2 linked regions of the Oryzias latipes genome follow. The protein of the gene in region 1 interacts with the protein of each later gene in a biochemical or structural test. Links are inferred from orthologs where the notes say so. Each region holds a gene or a part of one and is shown in the gene's direction. Other genes may lie near its edges. The genes, in order: E3 ubiquitin-protein ligase Siah2 and rbbp8.

Region 1 (4,106 bases):
ACCATGCAGTGATCTCCAACCCTGTTCCTCGTGAGCTACTGCCCTGCTTGTTTTGCAGCTAACCCTGCTTCTGTAATTATTGGTCACCCAGATAGGGTGTGTTCAGTCAGTCAGAATCTGGGCCCACTCAATCCAGCTAATCAGGGTTGGAGATGCCTTATAAGAACTGGACTGAGTGAGTGTGACGTCACCCATAGAAAACGGCTTACTTCTGGAGTCAATTCTGGAGTCAATTCAGCCACCAGTTTTTCGCGATACAGACGCCACCATGCTGGAACCAGAAATGACCAGTAAGCAATGATTGGTCCGAATCGGTTTGAGTCTTGTATCTATGACAACCACTCTTTCCAATAAGGAGCGAGCTTGTTGAAAGTCTGCATCCCTTCCACTAGAAAGCGGGCTTGGGATAATCTGTCAATCAGATATATTGAACATGTGACATGAGACCACATGCTTTTACTGAGGACTCTGACTGGTCAGTTTATAACTTGAATACCTTGCAATAAAGAAACAAAAACATATTAAAAAGGTGGCAGCCATAGAATGATTAATCTGACAAATAGAATGACAGAGTATTTATTTTTCTAAAGAATCTGTGGTATTTTGTCTTGTTTTTGAACCAGCGGGTACTTCCTGTTTGGAACACGAAGGGGGATGGGTCACTCAGTACATATCATTGACGGTTTAATATGACAGGATGGATTGCATGTGATGTCACTCATAGAAAATGTCTTATTAATATTAATATCATTATTATAATTACTGACTTATTATTCACTTAATGTTGTGCTTTTCTAAATAATTTAAATTACATGTCAAAGAGGTCTAAAACTTATAAATGTTTAAAAATTATTTTTTTAAATTCTTTGTAATAATTGTTTTATTTGTAAGAAGTCCTGCAACTAGAAAGCGTTGTCATGTGGGCACCGACGACCTCACCAAGGTGGCGTAGCACTCCGCCACCATTGGCTAGGCTTCCGAAGTGGGCGTGTCTCCTCTCGCAATATAACTCATTGGTCCATGTCCAGTCAATAATACAATCACACACCCAGACAAATTGTAACAACCCAAGCAGGCAGAGAAGCATAATCTCTTTTCTAGATTCAGGGCCTATTTATTTGAAAACCACTTAAACAGTCAAACAGCATGGAGGTCACTTCTGCTCACAACGCCCTCACTCATGGTGAGGAACTTTACACCCAAGATTCCCCACTTCCCATGAGCCTTCGGAGCTGAAGGCAGGGCTAACCCCCAGGTCGCCACACTATATACATGCACACACACAAACTAATAATCACGTGCACACAAACATCAGTTAATATTTTTTATGCTTTTTTAAAAGCAGTATTTTTATGATCGTCCTGTTCTCCTTGGATCTTTTCTCCTTCAGCGGTTTTATTTAATATTTTTGGTCTCCAGGAAAAACATTCGTGTGAGGACACGCCTCCAGAGCTTGATTGGCTGACGCTCCTGCCATTCAGTCAGGAAGCAGCCAATGACAGCGCGCGGTCATGGTACAAACCGACAGCCGCCATGTTGGCTCTGCTGGGTCAGGTTGTGAGCGGCAGATGACAGAACCTCCGCTTCGGCCGCTCGTCGGACTAGGACCGCAGCTGGGAGCCATGAGCGGTCCGTCCTCAGCCGGAGCCGGAGGACTCGGGGCCGCGAAAGCAGGCGGGGGGAAGCACGGAGCCGCTTCAGCCGCCGCAGCTGCTGCCGCCGCGGCCGTGGCCGCCGGCGCCGGTGTGGGCTCTGTGGCCGGGTCGGGCTCGGCAGCATCTTCCTCCGTCTTGTCTCTGCCCGCAGCCGGCCTCCCCGGGCAGCCGACGGAACTCACGGCGCTGTTCGAGTGTCCCGTCTGCTTCGACTACGTGCTGCCGCCCATCCTGCAGTGCCAGTCGGGTCACCTGGTCTGCAACCCGTGCCGGCAGAAGCTGAGCTGCTGTCCGACCTGCCGCGGCCCGCTCAGCCCGAGCATCCGTAACCTGGCCATGGAGAAGGTGGCGTCCACCCTGCCGTTCCCCTGCAAGGTGAGCCGGCCGCCCAGCCCACAGTTCGGGTCCGCAGCGGTTCTGCAGTATCAACCAGCTTCTCTTTGTGGTCCAGTCGAACTTTTCTGAAACTCAGAGGGCAAACAGAATGACACAGAGGTATAAAACGTAAACAAACGAACCATCAAACTGAATGTTGCGTTCACTGTCTGAGATAACAGTAGGACATGTCAGTTTCAGGTTTTAGGAACCACAAACAATGGACCTATATTCTCTGACGTCACTTAAAAGATTACGAACGGAATTAAAGTGAGAATTCCTCCCCCCACTTCAATTTTTTGAGCATCTCCATTTGGCACAAAGTCAAGGGATAGATAAATCCACAAGTGACCTAAAACTATCTGTAGTTTAATAAAAGGCACCCTCACCCCATACCGACATTTCTGTGTAGGATGTCAGAAGGTCATTTCTGCTGTCATGTTGGATTTTTGTAAGATGGGAGTTGATGGGAAACCAGCCTGCTGTGGTCATTTGAGGAACTGCAACCTTCCCCGGACTGGCATTTAGGCACAAAAGGTAGGGGGGTCTAGGTGGGAACAGGGGCGTGGAACGCCGTGTTCCCCCCAGACGTTGTACCTAAAACAGCGGCTCAGGTTCTGTCACGGACTCGTTAAAGTTAAATGAGGGGATCAGAGCTGAAAGGTGAGTCTTGACCTCACCTGATCAGGAGGAGGGGCTGAGGGAGGACACCTGATGCTTCAAGGTGAAGACACCCTCTCTGCTGCATCAAGGCTCACACCTGAGGCAGAAGCACGATCAGGAAGTCAAGGGCAGATGTTTTAGATGACGGAGGCCTCGCTCTCACAGGTTTAGTTCTCTGGTCCGACTTAATTCAGGAATTTGGATAAGATGTTTTGATCTGGATCATGGTGAACGTGTGCACATGTCTTGTAGTTGTAGAGCTTTACTGTAGGCCCTGGTCCGTAAGGTTCTGCTTTGAGCCTTGTTCTAGCTGTTCTGCTGTGAAGCTTCTTAAACCAAACTATCTTGAAGTTGCCTCTGGATGGGAGTTTGTGCTTCACACCTCAGGTTCTTGAAGCCTTCAGGTTCAGACAACAGAGTGTTCTCTTTGTGTTTGTTTATGATGTATTTGGTCAGTTGCTTTCATTTTGGAAAAAGTTCCACCCCTTAAACGGTCTACGCCCATCATTCTTCAATCTAACCAATCAGAAGTGGTTATCGTCTTCACTTCCTCGTTCCGTGGCTCAAAGTCTCTCAGTTCCAACAAAAACATCCCCTCAAGATCGAGTTTAGCGCTGTAGCTTCCCATGGGATCCGGTGTTAGATCATTTTAAAAGTGAATAAAATAACAAAGCTTGGAGACGCTGGTCTGTCCGGCATCGATACCGCAGCACTACATCTCCCATGATTCATTGGGTTAATGTGACAGCATCTCCTCCGGTGCTGCTGTTAACTGGCATGAAGCAAACGCAGAAATCTGTTCCGTTCTAACGGTTGGAGAATCTTCTTGCTAAAATCAGAGGTAAAGGTTTGTGTTGGAGCCCAAGGAGTCATTAACGGCCAGAGGTTCCAGTCTTTTTAGTCTAAAGTCATCTTTAGATCAGAAACAGCTGCTTTCTAATAATGTCTGTTTGAAAGACAATTTCATATTCAGACTTCAGTCACTTTTCAAAAAAAAATCTAAACGGCAAAAAATGTTTGTTTTTTTATCTTTTAAATAAATAAAACCTTTTTTTTTAATTTATTTAGACAAAACAATTGTGCTTTTTTAAAGTTCCAATTTAACTTATAACCCTGAATATAGTGCTATAGTGTTTTTTTATGAATGTATTCATGCTGTGGTTACATCATTTACAGTTGCTCTTGCACAAAGGAAATGAACAAAATATTTAATGAATTAACCCTGTTTAAAAGGAACGTCGTGGTTTTATTATTTTTTTTTTTACATTTTACTAAATCGTATCTTAATAAACTGGAGGATACAACACTGCTTGAACATCCCCATACAGCCTTTAGTTGAAACAATTAAACTATCCCAACTTGTGGAAAAATCTGTTGCAACTTCAAGCGTTTTGTGCTGCAAGTGTTACAAAA
Region 2 (4,722 bases), on another chromosome or scaffold:
TCAGTCCTTTCTACATCCCACTTCTTTTTAGCCAACCTCTTCCTCTGGACGCATTCCTGTACTTCCTCATTCCACCACCAAGTCTCTTTACCGTCTTTCCTCTTTCCAGATGACACACCTAGCACCTTCCTACCTGTTTCCCTGATAATCTCTGCTGTAGTTTCCCAGTCATCTGGAAGCTCATCCTGACCACCCAGACCCTGTCTCAACTTCTGCCTAAATTCCTCACAAGTTTCTTCATTCTGTAGCTTCCACCACTTGGTCTTCTTTTCTGTTTTCCCTCTCTTCTTCTTCCTGACCTCCAGGGTCATCTTACACACCACCATGCGGTGCTGTCTGGCTACACTCTCTCCTACCACCACTTTGCAGTCAATAACCTCTCTCAAATGACCTCGTCTACATAGGATGTAGTCCACCTGAGTACTCCTACCTCCACTTCTGTATGTCACTCTATGTTCCTCTCTCTTCTGGAAGTAAGTGTTGACTACAGCCATTTCCATCCTCTTCGCAAAGTCCACCACCATCTGTCCCTCCAGATTCCTTTCCTTCACACCAAACCTGCCCATCACCTCCTCATCACCTCTGTTGCCCTCACCAACATGCCCATTAAAGTCTGCTCCAATAACAACTCTCTCTCCTCTGGGGATACTCTCTATGACCTCATCCAACTCACTCCAGAATCTCTCCTTCACTTCTAACTCACAGCCAACCTGTGGCGCATACCCACTGACTACATTCACCATCACCCCTTCGATTTCTAACTTTAAGCTCATCATCCTGTCTGAGACTCTTTTCACCTCTAGAACACTGTTTACAAACTCCCCCTTCAGAATCACTCCTACCCCGTTTCTCTTCCTATCAACACCATGATAGAACAGTTTGTATCCTCCTCCAATACTACGTGCCTTGCTGCCCTTCCACCTTGTCTCCTGCACACACAGTACATCTACCTTCCTTCTCTCCATCATGTCTGCCAGCTCTCTGCCTTTCCCTGTCATTGTGCCAACGTTAAGAGTCCCTATTCTCAAACCTATGTTCCTGCCTTTTCCCTTCTCTCTCTGGCCACGGGCCCTTCTGCCTCCCCTCTTTCTTCGACCAACAGTAGTCAAATTTCCACCGACACCCTGTAGGTTAACAGCATCGGTGGCGGTCGTTGTTAACCCGGGCCTCGACCGATCCGGTATGTCTAAAGTGTTGTGGATGATTCGCATGGTTATTTTGGCAATTTTTACGCCGGATGCCCTTCCTGACGCAACCCTCTCTATTTATCCGGGCTTGGGACCGGCACAGAGGCAACTGGCTTGCAACCCCTGTGGCTAGCCATTATTAACTCTGTAAAGGCCAATAAAGAATTGAAATGGAATAAATGTTTTCTCCTTAAAACTAAATTATATATTTTTATTGCTGTGGGTAAAACATATTTGTGAAATTTGGCAACATATTTATTTGAATAGTTAAAAAAATAGATTAAGTCCTCATACATCAAACCGAAGTGGTAAAAATAGTTTCCACTAAATTTGATGTTCATCATCAGCGATTCTTTTAACCACCACTCTTTGAACAGCAGGAGGCGCTCGAGCGTCCAGTCTGCTACATTTTCAGGGCCACAAAGAAGAGTTCCCAGCATGCACTTCTTCGGCGCGGAAATTTCAATGGATTTTCAATGCGAGATGAAAGTCTGAGGAGAGAGCTCACGAAGGAACAAGTCTGCCGTGTTTCGGCGTTCAACCAGCTCAGTTTTTGTAAGTACGTTTGTGAAAAGCTGCGTTTAAATTCACCGCGTTGTTTGGAACAAAATAGTGGGTTTGAAAAACTAATACTTGTAAAACTTCTACTGAACTACTAGAAGTTCTATAAATACACTTTTCTATGTACTGGAGGCTGACATGGCGTTTAATAACAAATAAATATTCACGTCCATCTTATTTTTTTCTTTAAATTATGTGGGCTGTTTGCGGAGAGGTGTGAAAGATGAGTGGATCAGGTGACAGCAGTGGGACGATCAAAGCAGCTGATCCCTTTGAGGATCTGTGGCGGCAGCTGGGAGAGTGTCATCATCACGTGACTGGAGGTAAACGACTGCTGGTTATCGGGCAAGGAGTGACACTGATAAACAAGGAATGGATCAGGAAACAAGTATGGATTTTCTTTAGAAAAGACAATTCTAGCTGTATAAAAACACAAGAACAGATTAAGCAGTGTAGTTTTTTTAATTTTTATTTATTTTATTGACCAATTGCAACATCCAGAACAAAAAAAAATGCAACAATTATGTACATATAATGTACATTACAATTCTGAATACAGAAAAAACGTGTTACATCCTTAGGAAGATTTTAATTATTAACAATAATTACAAAAAGATTAAGCAGTGTAGTTTTTTTTTAGATTAGCAGTGTAGTGCAGATCCGGCTTTTACCGGCCATGACGTCATCTGCGTGAGCCTGAAATCTCCTGCATTTTTAAAACAAAGTTAAAAAACAAACACTAAATTTTATTTTCAGTGTTATTACAATATGTTTTCAATAAAAATAATTATTAGTGTACAAATAAATGGGTGATTTTTACCTGTACTTTAGCAGAAATGTACACTTCACCTATAAAACTGTAGAAGAAGCATTGTTTGCTTTTGTTCAGAGCTAAAGGAAGGATAAACTAAAACACACGGAGCCAGAATTGAATCAAAAGGTAACAAGTCCTTAGTAAATGAGTAAAAATGTGATGCTGGTTTGTTTGCATTCAATCAATGGCATAAAAATGCAAACAAAAAAAAAAGGAATTGGCAACTGAAAGCATTACATGCAATTTGGTAATTTACTGCAGAAACTCTTAAACAAAATAAGAATAAATAATAATAACTTTTTCTATGGGAATAACTTTTTCCCATAGAGCTGGAAGCAAAGGTGAGCCGGCTGAAAAAGGACCGCTGCCTGTAAGTCCTGATGGATTTTTGTTTTAAGGAACGCCAATAATCATAACGCATTCCTTCATAGTTAAGGAATGGCAGTCAAAGTGACGTTTGTTTGTTGCAGAGATGCTCAGAGACTTGAGGTGTTTTACAACCGTAACCAGCATCTGAAGGAGGAGAACAAAACCCTGCACGACACCATCCACCTCCTAGAGGAAAGGTAACATCCTCCAGCGTTTGTCACACTCTGGACCAACAGAACCGGCTACGTTTGATCATCCGGTTTTGCTCAATCAACAGAGGGTGCTCCGGTCTGGGTGTTGGGGTCACCAAAGGGGGGGTAGTTTGCTAAAGAGAGGCAAGAAAAACAAAAGTTTTGTTGTTCTTTGTTTTTCAGGCTCAGAGCAGGAGAGTGCGACCGTTGTGTTGTCTTGGAGGAAAAGCTGAAGAGCAGCCTGGATCAGAATCTCAGACTTCTTGATGAACTGAGTGAGTCCCAGAAGGAGCTCCTCTCAAAAATAAAAACACGTGCACCATCTTTTTAAAATAAAATCAAAAGAGGATGTGGGAGGTGGATCGGCTTTCAGTTGCAGCCAATCATGTCTGGAGGGGAAACGGTTGCTGCGGCTTTTCCCTTTTTGTTTGATGAAGCGCTGATGGAGGTGGAGGACAGCCGTCTTGGAATGATGGTGCTGAGAAACTTTTAACTTCTTATTCAGGAATTGAAAGAAACAACCTGCAGGATGAAAACAGGAAACTCCGTGCTGAGATACAAAAGCTGAAAGCATCGTGGTGAGTTTTCTGTAAATCTTCTTCCTTTCAGGGAAAATGTTGCCTCCAACCTTCCCAAAACGTACCTAAATTTGCATTTACCTAGTACCCAGTCAAAATGACTTTTGGGCATTTGGGGCCAAAGTCTCTTATGGGTCCAAAAAAAAGTAACAAACCAAAACACACGTGTGTGGAAGATGTAGATTTTGAATGGCGTTAGCGTAGCAAGTTTGCCAAAATGGCGTTTCCCTGTTGCTCACATAGTTTTTACTGGAATATTGTGAAAATACACGAGTCGACAGCTCAGGCTGAACAAAAACAATGTCTGATTGAACATATTAGGAATGCGAGGGTGGTTAACAAAAAACCTCTGTTGCTAAGGAAATCCCAAAAAATTATTTTTGCCTGTTCTTCTAAACGTGACTCAAACATGTTCGTCACCCCCAGGCGACAAAAAATTAAAATGGTTGCTATGGAGGCAAAACCAACCGAAGGCTCCTTTTTTTTTTTTAGTTTTCATGAATTTGTTATGTGGCTCTGACTGGGGTGGCAGAGGGAGAGTAAGGGGGGGGGGGGGGGGGTAGCAGCCGCTCAGCCATCATAGGATGGCGAGGGCAGAGGCGTGTAGCGTCTGCTGCTCACGCCTTCATTTTATTTCAATATCTAAAAATGTTTTCCTCATTAATGGTAACATTTAAATAAATAAAAATATTTTCTCTAAAATTTATCACAGAAACGTGTCTTATTTTTTTTCTCTTCATTTTTGGTTTCTAAACATCTTCCTGTATTTTCACTTTGCTGAACGTTGCGTTCTCTTGGCTTGGTGATGCGTTTGAGTGCTTCACGTGAACCTCGGCTTCAGTTCCCGCTGACACGCCGCTGTTTCCTGTCAGTTCCTCCTCAGAGCAAGACGACGGCTTCATCCCCGACTCGCCCGTCCTGCCCAGCTCGCTGCCGCCCGCCAACAAGCTGAGGAAGCGCAAACAGGTCGCCCAGCAGAAACACGTCCGTTACGAGGAGAAGCCCCTCCCCCACGCCCACAA

The links.
Region 2: the proteins of E3 ubiquitin-protein ligase Siah2 (region 1) and rbbp8 form a complex in vitro, tested with the Homo sapiens proteins (2 studies listed by BioGRID). The link is inferred for Oryzias latipes from reciprocal best matches to the Homo sapiens genes SIAH2 and RBBP8.

What each region holds. Positions count from the first base shown.
Region 1 is NC_019872.2:23,479,506-23,483,611, reverse strand, and holds the start of E3 ubiquitin-protein ligase Siah2, read left to right. Parts: upstream 1-1,306; 5' UTR 1,307-1,511; coding exon 1,512-2,030; intron 2,031-4,106. UniProt on the Homo sapiens protein: E3 ubiquitin-protein ligase that mediates ubiquitination and subsequent proteasomal degradation of target proteins.
Region 2 is NC_019878.2:11,812,446-11,817,167, forward strand, and holds the start of rbbp8 (DNA endonuclease RBBP8), read left to right. Parts: upstream 1-1,614; 5' UTR 1,615-1,742; intron 1,743-1,947; 5' UTR 1,948-1,971; coding exon 1,972-2,071; intron 2,072-2,889; coding exon 2,890-2,932; intron 2,933-3,032; coding exon 3,033-3,128; intron 3,129-3,305; coding exon 3,306-3,397; intron 3,398-3,627; coding exon 3,628-3,700; intron 3,701-4,572; coding exon 4,573-4,722. UniProt on the Homo sapiens protein: Endonuclease that cooperates with the MRE11-RAD50-NBN (MRN) complex in DNA-end resection, the first step of double-strand break (DSB) repair through the homologous recombination (HR) pathway.